2 linked regions of the Drosophila melanogaster genome follow. Changing the gene in region 1 together with any one later gene gives a genetic interaction. Each region holds a gene or a part of one and is shown in the gene's direction. Other genes may lie near its edges.

Region 1 (11,009 bases):
GATGGTGTTGGTGGAATTTCGTGTTTTGGTTGATCGATGCAAAGAAAAAGAAGAAGAAGAGATGCAAAAGATTGTTGTTGTTTTATGTTAATAACAATTATCGAATTTCGTCATGTTTACAATAATTTACTGTTGGCCACAAGTGGCGTTGTAGTAGGCGTAGTAGAAGAAGAAGTAGTAGCAGTACCAGTACCGTTTCCGCTATCCCCTCCCCCGACGCTACTGCTTCCGTTTCCGCCTGCTCCTCCTGCGGCGACAGCAGCAGCTTTAGCTCCGCTCCCAGCCTCCTTATTTGAGTTGTTGTTGCGCTCCTTGCGTCGTATATAACGCCGCTTCGCCGCATCGCCCGACCGCCGGCTGCCACCTTGTCCGCCGACACCGCCTGAGGCTATCGTCTCGCGCTCCGCCTTCCACATGGCCTTGACAATGGCCTTGGGCTGGCTGCGCATGACGCGGTACTGCCAGTCCGGCTGGCGGGCAACGGCCTCCAAGTGAACCGACTGACTGACATCTGGGAAACAAGAATGATAGGGATAAGAATATATTCAAACATAATTCCACTTTAGCTGTCATCATCCGACTATTTCTTTTCATTTTGGAATCCAATGTAAAGAATACGAGGATTTTAATGTTTTAGTTTCGAATAAAAATTATTTGCAAGTATTGCATTTTAAAGTTTTACTTTTTAATCAATTCAGTTCAAATCTCAAGTGTAGAATAAATAATGTTAAACCATCACAGATGATAAGAAATAATCATGGACGAAAACCAAATGGGTCCACTCAGTGTAACCTCCCACTCACCGCTGGCGAAGCTGAGCACTGGATGGTAGCCAGCATCGAGCAATGCCACCCGGTTTTGCGGCATCATCGTCTCGACCAGATCCCTGGGCGCCGTAGGGTCTGTCCGACCCGTGCACAGTGTGCATGGCACCTGCGGCCACTGGCAGCCACACTTAATGTTGCTGGGGCGTGCGGCTTTCTTGGAAATCGTGTGCATGTTCGTGGTCTGGAAGAGCTTGCGTTTGCGGAACTCGGACAGCACCAATGGACGTGCCCGACTGCAGAGGTAGTCGGATCCGGGCTCCTCCTTAATGCCATTTGCCGGCTGTGCTAGCGACGGTGAGGTCTTAGCTGTGGACTCCAGCTGGATCTCGCCCTTGGACTGAGTTAGATCCATGTAAAGGTCGCTGTGCTGACGGATCTTCATCTCCAAATCGGTCAGCTGGGAGCAGAGCCAGGACCAGCGCAGGGCAATGGCTGCACGATCTCTCGAATATCGCCAGACAGCGCGTCGAGTGCTGCAAAGAATCAAATTTCAAGAGCATTAGGAAAGAGAATACCACAAAAAAAAAGCTAAAAGAAATATATAATCGCTAATTAACAATTTTAATAAAAACTGTTGAAATAGTTGAAATATCGCATTGTAAATGCGATAATTAGGTACAACAACTCTAATCAAAGCCTATTACAACTTTTCAATTGCTAAGGACGACGTTAAATCATGTTTAAAATGCCTGTCAAAGCAAAACAATTTTGAAAGAAAACTACCGAGCCAACATTAATCGGACAAATTCTATAGCAAAAGAATGATCTTAAAAAGATGACAGAAGCTGAAAACCCCCCTCAAAAAAAGATGGAAGAAAGTTTACTTGTAAAATATTCCCGATAACCTAAGTATGTACATAAATAATACGAAGTACTCACATTGGTAGCGAGAGCTGCTGGTTGTTGTTGTAGGTTACCATCTCGTCAGCGGATTCTCCACCAGAACTTGACTCCGTGGCGTCCGAGTCGATGGCATTCTGTACTTCTCGAAGCTCCGTGTGCAGCAGGCCAGACACATGGGTGAGTTCATTAGTCACATAGGTGTCGTAGCCGGGCACGATATCATCCGCCCGCGGTGTATTCGAACCCGTTGCGGATCCCGTCGTGCCAGCTGCCTGTCTAGATGTTACCGCTCCTGGCGCAGGTGCAGTGGGTGTGGCACCCGTTGCAACCGAAGCATCAAGTTGATTCTTTCGTGGACGCTTCATCGGCAGCGCAGAGCTGTTGCAGCTGTTGTACCAGCTGGAGGATGGCGCCAGAGTAGCAGAGCTTCCGCTGGCTGAGTGGCAGATTTGCTGATGCTTTGCCGCCGTCGCAATATGCCGGATCACATTACTCATCTGGCTAGCAGGCAGCGGATGCTTGTTCTGCTCCTCCCAGAAGGTTGAGCTCGGACGCCCTGAGACAATCGATAGGACAGTGGCCTCCTGCTCAGTCAGCGTGGAACTTCTCGCTGGAACTGGAGCCTTATGGGAACTGCGGGCAGACCACTCCATGATACCAACCACCTCCTCGCTCGCGTGACGGCACATCGCTCGCGCCTGGAGCTTGCGCATCCTGCGTAGCAAAAACTCGATCCTGCGCGAGATAACGTGCTGCTGCTGCTCCAACTCAGCATGACTCTCCTGCCAGGGCCGCTGCTCCTGCTTAATAATCACATTCGGCTGGGAAATGTTGCTGCCGCTAACGAGGATGCCACTGCAGCTGGGCTTCGCGCCCGGCACATCCACCACATTTTCGGGTGGCGCGGGCGGCAATGGCGCTGCCGGTGCTGCCTCTTCCCAAACTTCGTCGAAAAACTCGCAAATGGTATCTGGATTAACATGGCCACCGTCAAATGTTTTGAGCGCTTTAAGCACCTCCTCGATATCCTGATCCTCTAGAACAGCACCAGCTGCTCCGTCTTTGAGAAAATTGTTGGAACTGGTGGTGCTTTGCGGCGTCATCTGTTGAATGGACTGCTGCTGTGTTCGCGCCGGCTGCGGAGACTCAAGATGGGCACTTGGTGGCGCCTGTGGCCTGGTGGGCGTGTTTGGCGCCTCCTGCACGGGTACCGGAACAGAAGGTGGTGCCACATGCTCCTCGGGCCTTCCAGTGGCATTCCCATCTAGCTGGCTGAGACGCTCTGAAACAGTGGGCGAGAGAAATTTTGAGTCAAGACTATTTATTTGGAGTGATTCCTTAGACCCACCTTCTATATTATCTATTTCTATCTTGGTCACCTCATCCACTGCAGATAAGGATAGAGCGCTGCCAGCACTCGTTGAACTTGTGGCCACTGCCAGCACCGAGGCAGGCGGAACCGGCTCTTTCCCCAGACTCACATCGGGTAGGGTTTTCCTCAGGCAAATCTCCGCGGATATGGTCTCCTCAAAGTTGATGGTTAGATCCGCCAGTAGCTGAGCGGTGGAGTTGTCCTTGGGCGTGGAGCTGTTGTCGGCGGAGGTGCTGTTGCCGGCGGAGGTACTGTTGCTGTCGTTATTGTTGTGCTCCACGGCAGAGGTGGAGGCTGCCGCAGTATCCGTCGAGGGATTTGGTGAAGTGGTGCTGTGTGGAGTCGGGGCTGTGCTCAGCCCCATTGGTTCATTGCTGGCTTTAGCGTTGCCCGACTTTCGCTTGTTATTGATTGCTAGCGAGGATCGCTGCTGTTGTAGATGCGGGGAAGCGGTAACTGAGGCCGCTGCCGCTGATGAGCGGGTAATCCGCGTGGTGGCCGTGGCCGGCGTGGGTGTTGCCGGCTTCTTGACCAAGCCAACTGCACATCCAACTCCTCCGCTTTCCGAGGAGCTGCGGGCCGAGGGCGAGGCGGTGCTGGTTAGCTTCTCCTTTGGACTTAGTGGCTCGGCTGTGAGCGCTGGGGCCATCGTTCTGATGCTAATACGTTGGCCGGCTGCTGCGGCATTTGGTTCGTTCGACTCCTAAGGCGTCTCTTTATGCTAATCCTGTCGAGAATTTTCCAAAAACGGGCTATTATTTTTCGGCAATTCAGCGTTAGGACGACAAAATAAAGGCATACTATTCGGTCCGAGACTACTGCGTTATCATATAAAAGAACAATATTGGTGTATTTATTTTTTATCTCGTTTAAACCGCCCGCCTCCGTAAGATTTCAAAATTTGGAATGGTTTTTTTTTTTTGTCTTTTCCGGCGTGTTATGTACATATGCTACATATGCGTACACAACACACACACAGCGTCGCTTTGGCCAACAAGAGAACCCATGAGAGCGAGAGAGAGGTCAGAAAGCGCGCTATTGCACACCATGATGCGCAATAAAAAAAACTGTATAGAACACACACACACAAACATATGCAGGGACTGACAGACTACTTTACATACTGACGAAATCATTGCGGTTACTTTCGAAAATTACAATTTTCCAAGATTGGGCATCTTCTGCCGGCGGGAAACTGCCGATCATGCCACCATGTTTTTATGTAATTCCGTTTATTGAGTTTTTCCACTACAATTAGCCTAGGCAAACGGAAACTCGCGCCTTTACACACACACACGCACATGCTAGCACACACACACGTGCAACTGTATGCGCCACTATATTCAGTTATTTACACAATCTCATTTATTGTATTCCACATGTCTCGATCAATTCTGCAGTAAAAATCAGTTATATGTGCTTTGTGTCCTATCTATATTCGCCCAGATTCCAGCGAAAGGGCAGTGGAAAAAGGTTTTCAGCGCGAAAGTAATCGTACTCACTAACACATGCAAGCAAGAACACACCGACAGCAGGCAGGCAGCACGCAAGAATTTGTAAATTGCTTAAAAATTAAGTAGTATTTTTTTTCATTATACGCACAATTCGGCCGTTCCGAAAAATTGCCCGTAGCACAATTGGCAAATATTTTTTGCAAACACAATGGCGTGACTCGCACTGTAGGAATTACGGTTTTCGCTTCACGGACTTTTTTCCTCATTTATTTTTTTCATCGCTTAGACTGCTCTGCTACGCTTTTGGCAAAACGACGTGTATCGAAGCTGTACTCGTTTCTGTGCCAGACCAAAGTGCGCTGTCGCCCAGCTGGTTGTCTCGCTCTTGCACGTGCGCCGCCTATGGCGGTGGCGCGGCCCACTGTTGTGTGTGCGAGCGAGATGACCAGTGTCTATGGCAGGGAGCTGCAAACTATCGGCTGTGATAGCAATATATCGAGTAGATACTGGAGTGGTGCGCACTTTCGACTAGCGACTATCGATTCTCGGAATAATTTTCCGCCTTGTTTTAAATAATTTATTATTTATTTATTGTTGTACTTCAGTACTGGGTTCAGTTTTGCGAAACGTAATATTTCTTATGTTCATACTATCGAATGTTATCGACTCAGTCGATAGCAATGCAGATATGCCTGCTTACGCAAGTTGCAGCCCTGGTAATTTATTTAGACTTTGTTTCGGAATTGGATGGACAACGAAAGAGCTAATAATTCGTTTTTAATGTTTTATGTCAAAGGAAGTGAACGTATAGTCCTCGATTTCCTGGATTTGCGAAAATTCAGCCTTTGAGACCTTAGCGTTGGGAATTCGGTTGTTCTCCAGCCAATGTTTCCTTCAAATTAGTGGGCGATGGTTAAATGATTGAATTAGTGGAGTGCAGCGGTACCTACATTTCCATTAAATTCATCATAGGAGCCTCCAGTTGTCCCTTGACGGTCCCATCCCGGGTATTCATGCACCAGCCCCTAACTCCCAATCTTTTAGCCTCATGCGACGTGTGCTAAGCCAAAAATGTACATAAGTTAAATGTTGATTTCCAGATATATATATAGGCCTCCCAGTACTTACTTTGCGGAAGAACACACCTGCAAAATTTAATACGCTGTTTAACAAGCCGAATCAGAAAAATGCATTGCATACCTTGCACTCGTCCAAAGATCTCGAAATCGAGGGCAAATATCTGCTTGGCAACTCCAGATCCCGCCATTATGTAGTCGTGATCAGATTTCTGATGCCACTTAGATTCCTTGCAGCACTCAAATTTCTAAATAGAGCTAGCAAAAACTGAATGTTGACAACCAAAATAGAATTATTATTAAATTGTAACATAGTTATCGTAGCCAGGGCGACAACGCAAAACCAGGGGCGTTCAGTAGAAAATACCGTGAGGTCAGTATTTAGACAGTACACACACCTCTTGTGAACAACAATATACTGTAGGTCATCAAGCTCATCTCTAGCTAATGTTTACCGTTGCTTTTCAACGCAGGACGCACTTGGTAAAAGTTTAGGTAAACTAAACAAAACGTTTGTAATGTACAATATATATTTATTTCTTTTATAAATTAGTTGCGCTAATACAACTGCTTAGCTGGCAAAATGACGGGCGCCAAGAAAAGATCGGGAGCACCGTTAGTGGATGCAGCTCACTCGAAAGCCCCAAAACCAGGTACAGTTGCCCAAGAAAAAAACAGCCAAATTCCAACTGTTTGGAAAAAGGATCATGTAAAAACTCAACTTTTCGAAAGATCAAACGAAAAGCCATCCAAAAAAAGAACTCCGCTAGTGGCTCCTAGAGTTCAGCAATCAAAAATTGAAGCGCAAACTTCTCAGGCTGTGGAAAAAACACAGGAAGACCAAACTTTTGCAGCCACCATAGACAGTTCAACAAAAAGTCTAAAAAAGTCTCCCAAAAACGAGGGAGAATTATGGGCAGATATTCAGAAGCTGTCGCCCCACACGGGAATAATAATTCATAGCTTCATAAAGCAGTACAACGAATCGCTAAATAATCTCAAGAAGAAAGACTTGGTGGTCAGCAAGAAAATGAGAGCCATCGCCATGGACTCGCTGAAGAAAAAATCGGAAAATATCAGCTTGAAGGAAAAGTAAGACCTTCCTTCTTCAATACAGTTCCTGCCTGCAGTGAGCTTATTCTTTCAGGTTGACAAATATGGAACTGGAGCTGACCCAACTGAAAACTGATCTTATCGAGCAGCAGGAGAAGAACGCAGAGAACATCCAGAAGTACACGGAAATCAACAAAAAGTACACCCACTGCGAGCAACATTACGACAAGGAGCTGGAAATCATTAAAGTATGTGTTGAGAAGAAAAATTCAGAGCTCCGAGATGCTCAATCCCGGATGGCCCTGCAGGCGCAAGAGGTGAGTTTACTATATTTTAAAATATATAGATATAAATTTATATATATCTACATGTGTATCTCACTTTGCAGCTGAATAATATGCAGCAAACGAATCGTGAGTTAGCTGGAGCCTGCGAGAATTATAAAAAGGATTTGGAAGAAGCAGAAGTGGCCAAATCTATGATTCTACATGAACTTACCGATCTCAAAGAGCTCCACGAAGACCTACAGCTTCAATTTGAAGATGTGTCTGCACAAAAGGAAAAGTTTGAGGTGGGTTACACTGGCTTTCCTTGTATTAGATTATAACATTATGTTCTCCACAGGCAAACATTTTACAATTAAGCAGCGACTTAAATGCAAAGATGCTTGACTGCGCCCAGCTTGAAGATCGCATTGAGCAGCTGCCAATAGAGGCCAACAAAGCTTTGTCGAAACTGCAACGTGATTTAGAAGCCAGTGAATTGCAGTTCGTGGATCAGCAACGATTGACTGATCAGGCAACGAGGGAACTCGAACTTGTTCGCAATGAGATAAATACGTTTAAGACTCTTATTGAGGAAAAGGAAAGAAGACATGTTTCCCTAAGTGATGAACTAACTCAAATGACGGAGAGATTGAGCGAGCTCGCTGATATCAACGAAAGTTATATCAATGAGTTGACTGAAACAAAATTGAAGCACTCCCAGGAAATAAAAGATCAAGCAGATGCCTACGAGGTTGGTCTGAAAAATACTAAATTCATATTTTATTGTATCTTGATTATTTATTCTCCTTGACAGATTGTTGTTCAAGAGTTAAAAGAGAGCTTGAACAAGGCTTCAGTTGATTTTACTCAGCTAAAAAGCAACAGTGAGAAGCTACACAAAGAAACCCTTCTGCAGGTCTCCGAACTGCAGGAAAAACTTATAGAAATGGTGTCCCATCGCAGCAATCAGGAAGAGCTAATAAAGCGTCTTGGTAATGAAATTCAAGAAAAAACTCATAATTTTGAAGAAGAACTCAAAAGGCAACAGGAGCAGCTTGCTAATCAAATGCAGATGAAGGCCACTGAAGTTGAGAGCGAAAATAAGCGAAACGCTGTTGAAATACAAAAACTTAAATCTGAACTCGAAGAAAGGAATAAAGCTTTTAAGGCTCAACAGGATAAATTGGAATATTTGATTAGTGATCATGATACGCTAAAGAGCGCTATTATCAATCTTCAGGCTGAAAAGAAGGAAATCGAGAGTGAATTATCCACGGCCAAAGTTAAATTTAGCGAGGAATTACAGTCTCAGAAAGATAACCTAATGGTAAGACTTATAAATTCTTTTTCATTAACCTTTTTTCTACAAAATGATTTATTATTTTTATATAGAAAAAGGTATCCGAATTGGAGCTTGAAATTAAAAGAAAAGAAACCGAATTGATTGAACTTGAGCGTGAAAAGAACGTAAGTCTATCGGACTCATTATATTTCATGTTATATATTTAAAATTGCCCAACAGAATGAAATGGCTGTGCTACAATTTAAAATGAATCGAATTAACTGCCTGATCGACCAACCAGTGACCACAATTAAACAGCTAAAAGATTCCAAAGGGCCAACCAGAACTGAGAGCATTCCTACTAAGGTGCAACCGGAAAATACAGACGAATTTTCAAGCACTGCCAGAAAGCGTAATGCTCGTCGTCAAAAAATTACCACATATTCCTCCGACTTTGATAGCGGCGATGATATACCAGTGAGTATTTGTTAATTGCACCTATAATCGAAATTAAATTATTGAACTTTTATTACAGATCGTGGGCAACTCTTTAAGCGGCAAACGTGCCAAATTATGTGCGCCCATCAAGCCACAAAATAATATTGATATGTTCGACATGTTGAAGAATTCTAAATAACTAAGCAGTACAACGAACATACAGACAACATTATCAATTCTTACACTTTGTTTTTAGTAAAATGGAAGAATATTGAGCTTAGAAATTCATTCAGATCCATCATCATTTAAACATCTGTACTTCTTTGAAAACTTGTCTGAAACTGGCAAGCTATTTTTAAGAACATGATTACTTTATGTTATTTAATCCCATTTTGTATCTAATTGTTAAATTAAAACTCATATCTTGAAGTATCTTGTTCAAATAGATCCAATCTATTTGATTATAGTTTTTGTAATAAAAACATTACATGTACTTTGTTGAAACACTTTAATTAATAACACACTTTTGTCCTCATTTCTTTAAAGGACACCAAACAGATTTTGAAATCATACCAAAAGTAAAAACTGGTAAAAACAAAACGTAAAATGATCGATACTAAACTATGTTTTGATGATATTTATCAGGCGGTCGACGTCAGCAGCATTCACGACTCCGTCCGCCTTAATTCCAGATTCCTCCATTGCCTTCCTGGTGCCACTGCCCACGGCTATCAGCTTGCGATCCTTAAGCGAAACGTTGTAGTTCCCAAAGAACTCCAAGGAGCTGCGGACACTGGAGGGTCCGAAGAACACAATCGTTTCCATTCGCTTGAATTTGAGGGCGTGCCGCATCTGATTGACGAAATCCGGATGCGACCGACTCTCGTACACTTCGCAGGCATCCACCCGGAATCCCTGGGCGACCAAACGGAGGCGCAGTGTCTGACCCACGCCATTGCCGCAGGGCATGAGCAGTGGCAGATCCCTCTTGGGTCCAAACGTCTCCACGATCAGATCGCACAGATTGTTTGCATTCACGGCATGATCGCCCAGAGTCGGAAGATTCTGGAATGTTATCCAGGCGGCGCTGTGCGTGTTCTTGCCTAGGGAATAATTGTGTAACGCACGCCAGCAACTAGGAAGTGGTGTCTTTCCTAGTGCCTCGTTTACAGCTTGGACACAGCGCGGGGATGCAAATATAATCCCGGCATATTTGTGCGGCTCATGCAACTTGGCTTGCAATTGCTTCAGATTCTTGAACACAAAATGCGAGGGAGTAATGAAGATGGGATCCAGGTTATGGCTGCGCAACGCCGAACCATAGAAATCATCGGAGGACGGAACCTTCAGCAGAATAACCGGCTGCTTGTTGCGATCTCCCATGATTCTAACTAAATTTTGCTGGACTTAACTAGAGAATGGACAATTTGATATTCGTGTTTTGCGTTTGATTTATAGAATAGTTCGAATAGAAAGGGCATAGAATAGATAATGCCTGAAAATTATTGCCGCGCCTATCGAGAGTCGGGTTTTAAAAATAGTTCATCACATTGAAGCCAACTATTATTAGGTGGCTCTAATCCAACCAAACACGAATGCAGGCTACCGAACTTTCAGTTGCACTTTGAAAAAACTTCTCAATAATTTCGGGAATGTTATCACAAGCATTTGCAACGCAATCATTTATAATTTTGTACATTTATATGGAAAAACAAGTGAGTTGAGAACACTAACCAGGCAATAGTAAAAGTAGAAAGTACAACAATTAATCTTAAATCCGTTTACACAGCTCCCATCTGGAGAATGGGTGTAAATAGCTTGTAGGCCTTCTCGATGAACTGCACGGCAGATAGCATTTCGGAAAAGAATGTGCTGACCCGGCCTTTTGATTCCTCCGTTTCTGACTTGCCGCTCAGAACGGCGGCGAAGCGGTGGCTAAGTCCTTGAAGGTGTCCATTGAACTGCTGGCAGAGATTGACGACGCCATCCACTTCGTTGGCGGTGCTGTGATGTGGCTTCACCAGCAACAGCTCGGCGATTTTGTGCAGCTTACACATCTCGAGGGCGCACGCTTCACTCAGCGCGTGGATGCTCTTAGCATAGGCTTGCTCCAGATCGGCGGCAGTTGCTTCCTCTGAGGTCAACCAGCTGAGGGACTGCGTCCAGTGACTGTACAAAAGATTTGGGTTTATGGTATGTTTAAATAATATTAGTTTCCGACAACTTACTTGGCTATGTCGTCAAACTGAATGCCCAGCTCGGCGTCCTTGATTGTGGCCGCCAATCGCTCGCTCAGTTCCTCCGCCTCGTAGTCACCTTCACTCTCCACATCCAGATCCTCCAGTTCGATCAGTTCCTTCACCTCGTTTATCGTTTCCTGCAACTCTGCACGGGCATT
Region 2 (7,095 bases), on another chromosome or scaffold:
CCCACATCGAGACCTGCCACCTGCCGCTGCGATGCCGCAAGTGCCAGCGCAACTACACGCGCGTCGATGACCTGCGGGAGTTCAGCAAGTGCGTGGACCAGCAGCAGAGCTGCACTGATGTCACCGGCGCCACGGAGACATCGAAGGCGACGCTAAAGAAGGCAGCGAATAGCACCGCCATTTCAACGCAAACGTCGCCGTCCGTAACGCCCATTTCACTGATCAACATGCGCTGGAAGGCCAAGAGCCGTGTCACCCACGAGGAGTTCATCAGCGACAGCGTCTCCTCCATACGCAACCTGTCGTCGTTCAGCAACAGCTCCATTCGTCGCTCCATTGGCCAACTGGGCGTGAATCCGTCCGAAACGATGGAGAAGGGCAAGGTCATACGCTCGACGTCCACACCACTGCACGTGGAGTCCGTGTTCGCCAAGCCCAAGGAGCCGATTACCTTCAATGCTTCCACTGGCGGCCACGTGTCCAGCATCTACCACGAGGAGCCCAGTCCGACACCCGAAAGCAATCCCGTCCAGCAGCAGCAGCAGCAGCAGCAGCCGTTGCAGCAGCGCGCCTGGAAAATGGGCGCCCGCAACAAGATGAGCGCCGCAACGCCGCTGCGCCAGGTCATGTCCAAGAGCATTCAGAAGGCCTTCGTCGAGCACGGCGGCATGATGGTCCACCAGCCACCATCCGCAGTGGTGCAACGTCGCGTGCGCCTCGATCTCAGCGAGCACAGTTCGCACGAGGCAGCAGGCTCGTCCGCTCTGGACCTGCGACTCTCGCCAGCTATGCGGCGCACCCAGAGCGAGTCCAGCGCCTCGGAGGTCAACAGCGGCAGCAGCTCCAGCTACAGCACCTCGCGGAATGCCGATCTATGCAAGCGGCAGTTCTTGCTGTCCGCACAGAAACTCACCACCGAGTCGATCATCATCACGCGGACGAACTCCAGCTCACAGAAGACCTCTTCCACGGTGTACAACTCATGCGAGAGCGTCGAGATCATACGCTCCACCTCGGAATCAGCGGAAGTGTGCCACGTGCCGGCCATAACGCCCATCCGTGTCACCGGTGCCGGCATCAACAAGAAGCAGATCAAGTTCGAGACGCCGCCCAAGAGCAGCCAACAGATGCGATCGAATGGCGAGGGCGATGAAACCAAGGACCAGTTTTTCACGCCGGAACCGGGAACGCCGGAAATTCCAGAGCGTCGTCATCGCCAGGCGATTGTGCCGCGCCAGCTGAGCGGCGAGTTTTCGCCCAAGAAGGATAAGCCGAAGGAGAAGGGGCTGGCGGTGATGGCCCTGATCTCGCCGCCATTGCAGCAACCCAGGGTGCGTCCTCCGTTGCGGGAATGCCGTCAGCAGAGGGTCTATAGCGGCGTGCAGGATGTGGGCGAGCCGGAGGTCGTGGACGCAGAAGAGGAGGACGAGGTGTTCCGCCCCACAAACGCCTCCACGTGCAACGACAAAAAGCTGGAGGCGCCCAACTCCGGTCGCCTGTGGTCGCTGATGAGTTCCATGATGCGACTGCCGGCCAGCTTGCGCGGCGAACGCGAAAAGGACAGGGACAGGGACAGGGATTCGGATAAGGAGAACGCTGGTTCGGGCTCACTCATCCGTCGCTGCGCCTCCATCGCTGGATCCCTGGTGCGCCCCAGTGCAAGGGACTCCTCCATGGAGGACCAGCAGTGCCTCAAGAGAAAGCGCACTCAGACGCTGGACAGCCAGTACTGTAGCCCGCTGTCGCCGTCCAGCTCCTCGAAGCGCTACCGCATCCGGCCCAGGGAGCCCATCGAGCGCATGCGTCGCCAGTAGGTTTTAAGCTTTTGCCTGCGAATCTGTGTTTTAATTGTGAAATTCTTCTTTTTTTTTATCGTTTAATAAATGTTTGGTCTTGCATTAACCGTTATGCGCAGCAGGAGTTGGCAGGTCCAGGAGCTTAGCTCGTCTCATTCAGAGCTGCCAACTCTATCTATTGATTCTGTTATTAATTAGTTGCGCACAAGATCGAAAAGCTTAACGGAGCGCCCATGGCGAAATCACAAGCAGGTCAGACTGTCGAGCCGGAGGCGTCCAAGCTGTGGATCCACTGCAACAGCTGCTGCGCCCTGTTCTGCGATAAGAAGCACACCTTCTTCCTGCTCGCCTGCCATCACGTGTTCTGCGAGCGGTGCGTCAAGGTCTCCGCCGGCCGCACGCCCAGCGACGCGCCCATATTCGAATGCTCCACCTGTCGGCGGAGCGTGCGCGGCCGCCAGTTGACCAACTCGATGCCCAACCACTTCAAGCAGCTCTTCCATCCGGAGCCCTTCACCATCGGCAACGACTTTGTGGAGACGTTCCAGCGCGGCAATCATCGGCACTTCGACAAGTACAAGGAGAGGAAGGAACTGGAGATGGATAAGCTGTTCAAGGACATCGAGGTGGCCAAGTCCGTGTGCCAGAAACGCTTCCTGGAGGCGCAGATGCTGCGCGTGGAGCGCAAGAAGCTGATGCAGAGGTCGCGCTACATTAAGGCGGAAGTCGCCAATCGGAAGGCGGAAATGCATCGGTGCGACATTTGGATTCCATTGAAAATAGTTCCCATTAATGCATTATATTTCTACCCGCCTTAGGATGGCCCAGGCCTACCGAAGCCGCTCGCTGACTTCGCAATCCTCGTCATCCGCCCAACGCTCGGCGCGCGGACGTCCTCGTGGCCGTGGAACAGCCACACAGTCCTCCAGTCGACGCCGATCAACGGAATCAGCAAAGCGGCAGCAAATCACCAGCTTCATACACCCGCCGAACAACTCGTTCGATCTGTGAGCTAGTGCTGATAGGTAAAGCTCTGTTTTACAACCGAGTATATATTTTTTGTAAATAATCAGCTTAAAACAATAAAATGGTGTCATAAGCTTTAAAATAATAAACTGCTAAGTTAACAGCGACCGTTAAGTTTCAATTAACAGTTTCGTTAGGATAACAGAAGTGTTGAAAGTGAATTCGATTAATCGAAATCCATCGATGACTGCTGCACCGATAATATCGCATAAGCATCTGCTCTAAAAACGCATAAAAATTGAATTGCAAGAAGTAGAAGAGCGAAACGTCATAAAAGCGGCAAATCCGGCGCTGTCCGACAAGAACCACAGGGGAAAGCGGATAAGGACATCATGATGAATAGCAAGATCGCCGAGGTAGTGGTGCTCAACTGCCGGACGTGCACGCGTGCCTGCAAGCTGCACAAGCCGCTGCAGGAGGAGATCGATCTGGGTTCGGAGGGCAGCACCACGCTGGCCAGCATGCTAAACTACTGCACGGGACTCTCGTTCGAGCCGCAAGACGGCGCCGCCATGCCGCAGCACATCTGCCTCCACTGCCTGCAGCTGCTGGAACAGGCGTTCAACTTCAAGCGCATGGTCATCGATTCGGACGAGCTGCTCCGCCTGGGCCTGGACGAGGCGCGCTGCTCCAGCTTTCACGAGAGTCAGACTCATAGCCCCAACCAGAGCCAGCAGCACGACCAGCAACAGCAGGCGTTCGACTCCACCGAGGAGTACGTCATGATCGAGATGCTCAACGAGGAGCAGGAGAACGTCGCCAATGTAAGTATCTATCACTTCACGGTGCAATGGAATGCAATGGTTCTTGTCCACTCCCATAGAGGATTAACGATTGCTCACAGCGGGCACCAGTCACTCAAATCGATTCACTTATATTGTGGCTCTTTGGGATGTAGTAGGGTAGGTCGGTGCCAAAGGAGTGCAACCTGTACCTCCATACAATGGATAACTTGTCTGCTCTTGGTGACACTACGTCTAAATAGGAGATGGGCTTCATCAAGTCTAACTCCAAAGTAAAACCATAACACCTTCTTCATCCGCAGTTGGATGAAGAACTAGCAGAGGAGGATCGTCGCATCTTCGCGATGACCGTGGATGAGGAGGAGGAGTTTCTCACCGAGGAGGTGGATCAGGATGACGAGCTGTCGGAGGAGGAGCACCAGCTGGCACAGTCGGGCGACCAGCAGGAGGAACACATCACTATGGAGAGCGTGCATGAGTTTCAGCCCGCCGAAGTGGAGTATGTGACCATTAAGAATGAGTTCGAAACGATCGTCACGGAGGAGGATGAGTTCGAGGTGATGAACGACTCCGGCGCCCACGACGCCATACTGGACTGTCAGATGATTGTGATACCCGCCGAGGGAGCCATTGACGAGGTCATCGGCGAGGAGACCCTCGAATTGGAGGGGGATGGGCGCGAGGAGCATCTGGTGAGAAAGGTCAAATTATATTGCACTAGAATACCATTTATCCTCCATTCACCTACACACAGCTGCCGGAGGCGGAGGATGTCTGCGAAGATGAGGACTTCCTGGAGGAGTCGCTGGACTCAGCGCCGCCGACCGCTGGCGAGGCGCTGCCGTACGTGTGCACCGTGTGCCAGAAGGCGTTCCGCCAGCAGTGCCGTCTCAACCAGCACATGCGCTCCCACGTGGACGAGAAGCAATACGAGTGCGAGGAGTGTGGCAAGCGTCTGAAGCACCTACGCAACTACAAGGAACACATGCTGACACACACAAATGTCAAGCCGCACCAGTGCAGCATATGCGGCCGCTTCTATCGTACCACCTCCAGTCTGGCAGTGCACAAGAGAACTCATGCGGAGAAGAAACCCTACAACTGCGATCAGTGCGGCCGCGGATATGCGGCGTTCGATCATCTGCGGCGCCACAAGCTCACGCACACGGGCGAGCGACCATACGCCTGCGATCTGTGCGACAAGGCCTACTACGATTCGTCCTCGCTGCGCCAGCACAAGATAAGCCACACCGGCAAGAAGGCTTTCACCTGCGAGATCTGCGGCGTGGGACTGTCTCAGAAGTCGGGCTACAAGAAGCACATGATGGTCCACAGTGGCGTCAAGGCGCACAAGTGTGATGTTTGCGGGCATGCCTTCACCTTTACCAGCAACCTCAATGCCCATGTTCGCCTCCATTCCGGCGAAAAGCCGTTTAAGTGCGAGGTCTGCGTTAAGGCCTTTCCCACAAAGAAGCGACTGGCCAGTCATATGCGCGTCCACAACAAGGAGTCGCCGGTGACGGCCACCGTTGCTGTTCAGTCCATCAATCCTCCCAGCCGACAAGCGGGCGCAGAAGGTGCGACAGGCGGAGGTGCGACAGGTGGAAGTCCGACCGGTGGAGGTGCGACCGGTGGATCGGCAACCAACCTTCACATAACCGAAGTTCATGAGCAGCCGGTGTCCACCTCCAAAGTGGTGATGGTGCTGTGAGCGGCCACCAAGCCGTGGGAGCGGCTCTAGAATGTAAGCCTAGGCTAAGGATTAGACACTTAGTTCAATAAAACTGATTTTTGTTCCAGAAAAAACTGAAAGAAAATTCGACACTTATTTTTTACATACATAAAAATAATTTTGTTTTCACGATAACTATCTCAGCAGGTTTAGCCACTCTTATCCATCAATTGTGATTAGATAACGCACAGCAAGTTCTCCACTTTCGTAACGAAACACATGGATGTCTTGTTTTTGGTTTTACGGTTAAGTCGTCTCTTTATAATAATAATATTACGATTAAATTGCCAAAAAACAAAAACAAGCAAGTTTAGTTATTCAATAAAACAAAAACATGCGCCTCGTCTTTTCCCAAAGGAGCAAAAGACAGAGCGTGCCTCCCAATCCTGCTGTCTGCTGTCTGCTACTGCTTCCCACTAACTACTCCAAAAGTCGACGAAAAATATGGCCAGTGTGCTGCTGCAGGGCGTGTTTGTTGCTCCGGCGCAGGCGGAAGGTTAAGGTATGCGTATGGAACGGGTTGTGCGGTATGGCCAGCCTCCTAGCGGCCGAGAATGTTGCGCGACCACTGTTTGACCATTGGCTTGGTCTTGGACTGCTCGATGCGTTCCGCCTCCAGCATTTGTTCGGCCAGCTTGCGCTGGTTCTCCCGGAACTGGTTGATGGGATCGTCGAACTGGCGATAGTAGTGGAGCACCTCGCGCACGTCGTCCACGTTGTTCTGCGCAATTACTGTAGCGAATTGCAAGGGTCAGTGTTTAGCTTTCAATGTCACTTGTGGCGCAACTTACTCTTTAGGAAAGCGATAAGGTCCAGCAGTTGGCCATCATCGTCGTTGCCATGCCAGCGGGCCAAGCCGAATGTGTTGTCCGGATGCATCTTGGTGGCATTCGCATCCCAGTCCACAACAATCACCTAAAATACTCCCTTCTTTATAGATGATTGCAATAGAAAATACGTTGTGCATGACTTGCCTTCTTGAGGTCGCGATTAAGGTTGTCCAGGTTCTTCACATGATGGCCGTCCACAAAGTGCGTGGCATCCCTGACCAGGCGGTACATAATGTAGCCGTTGGGATCGAGGGCATCCAGGATGGGGAACACGGTCATGCCCTGTTCGGCGGTGAAGACGACAATTTCAAAGTCCTTGGCGCACTCGGCCAGAAAGTGGTCGACGCCGGGACGCTTCTTGAAGCGCCAGCCAGTTTGGTAAGTCCAGTCCGGATGCACCAGCACGTCCTTCATCTCCAGCACAAGCGTGTAGCGCGGCTGCACGTACGGCGGCTTGAGCGGATCGGGCAGCAGTTTGGCGCGCGACGGCTCCTGGATCATGCGCTGATAGTAGTGAATGCTCTTCCACATCCGCTGCAGATACTGCTGTACCAGCGGCTTGTGTGTGAACTCGTCCTCGATGGGCTGCCCGTTGGGGTCCACCTCGGGCTTGCCGAACTCGTAGACGGCCCAGAATCCAGCAGCCACGGCGCTGCCTCCGAATATTGCAAAGCTGCAGCAGGAAGTATTGTTATAATACTGTTACGCATTGAATGGGCGTCAGCTTACCCCAGCTTCATGCGCTTCCAGGCACGCTCGTTCTCCTTTTCCTCCTCCTCCTCGCGCTTCTTGCGCTCCTGCTCGGCGTTGCTGTCCACCTCCGGCGAGGTCTGAGGAAAGAGCTTGGCCAGCAGCGGGGCATTCGGTGCGACCTCGGGCGCATCATTGGGGCCAGTGGCTCCAGCTTCCTGCTCTGCGAAACGAAAGTGGCCAAGGATGAATGTTTAGGACTCTACTGTTTAGGACTC

What was found.
Region 2: of c(3)G (region 1) and vilya, changing one enhances a phenotype caused by changing the other (phenotypic enhancement), as found in Drosophila melanogaster (one study listed by BioGRID).

What each region holds. Positions count from the first base shown.
Region 1 is NT_033777.3:15,787,589-15,798,597, reverse strand, and holds c(3)G (crossover suppressor on 3 of gowen), read left to right. Parts: upstream 1-6,018; 5' UTR 6,019-6,067; intron 6,068-6,125; 5' UTR 6,126-6,155; coding exon 6,156-6,664; intron 6,665-6,719; coding exon 6,720-6,942; intron 6,943-7,013; coding exon 7,014-7,196; intron 7,197-7,249; coding exon 7,250-7,642; intron 7,643-7,705; coding exon 7,706-8,218; intron 8,219-8,283; coding exon 8,284-8,358; intron 8,359-8,413; coding exon 8,414-8,650; intron 8,651-8,708; coding exon 8,709-8,810; 3' UTR 8,811-9,125; downstream 9,126-11,009. Other genes in the region: nsl1 (non-specific lethal 1), read right to left, coding at 131-511, 804-1,300, 1,707-2,952, 3,019-3,691; Acyp2 (acylphosphatase 2), read right to left, coding at 5,274-5,388, 5,447-5,556, 5,625-5,641, 5,697-5,763; Uros2 (uroporphyrinogen III synthase 2), read right to left, coding at 9,233-9,994; CG9590 (uncharacterized protein), read right to left, coding at 10,393-10,780, 10,840-11,009.
Region 2 is NC_004354.4:2,724,678-2,731,772, forward strand, and holds vilya (vilya), read left to right. Parts: upstream 1-2,000; 5' UTR 2,001-2,029; coding exon 2,030-2,550; intron 2,551-2,614; coding exon 2,615-2,807; 3' UTR 2,808-2,891; downstream 2,892-7,095. Other genes in the region: fs(1)Ya (female sterile (1) young arrest), read left to right, coding at 1-1,814; dwg (deformed wings), read left to right, coding at 3,155-3,586, 3,868-4,257, 4,320-5,276; ttm50 (tiny tim 50), read right to left, coding at 5,839-6,029, 6,089-6,212, 6,272-6,800, 6,857-7,040. UniProt on the Drosophila melanogaster protein: Required for the formation of DNA double-strand breaks during meiosis together with narya and nenya.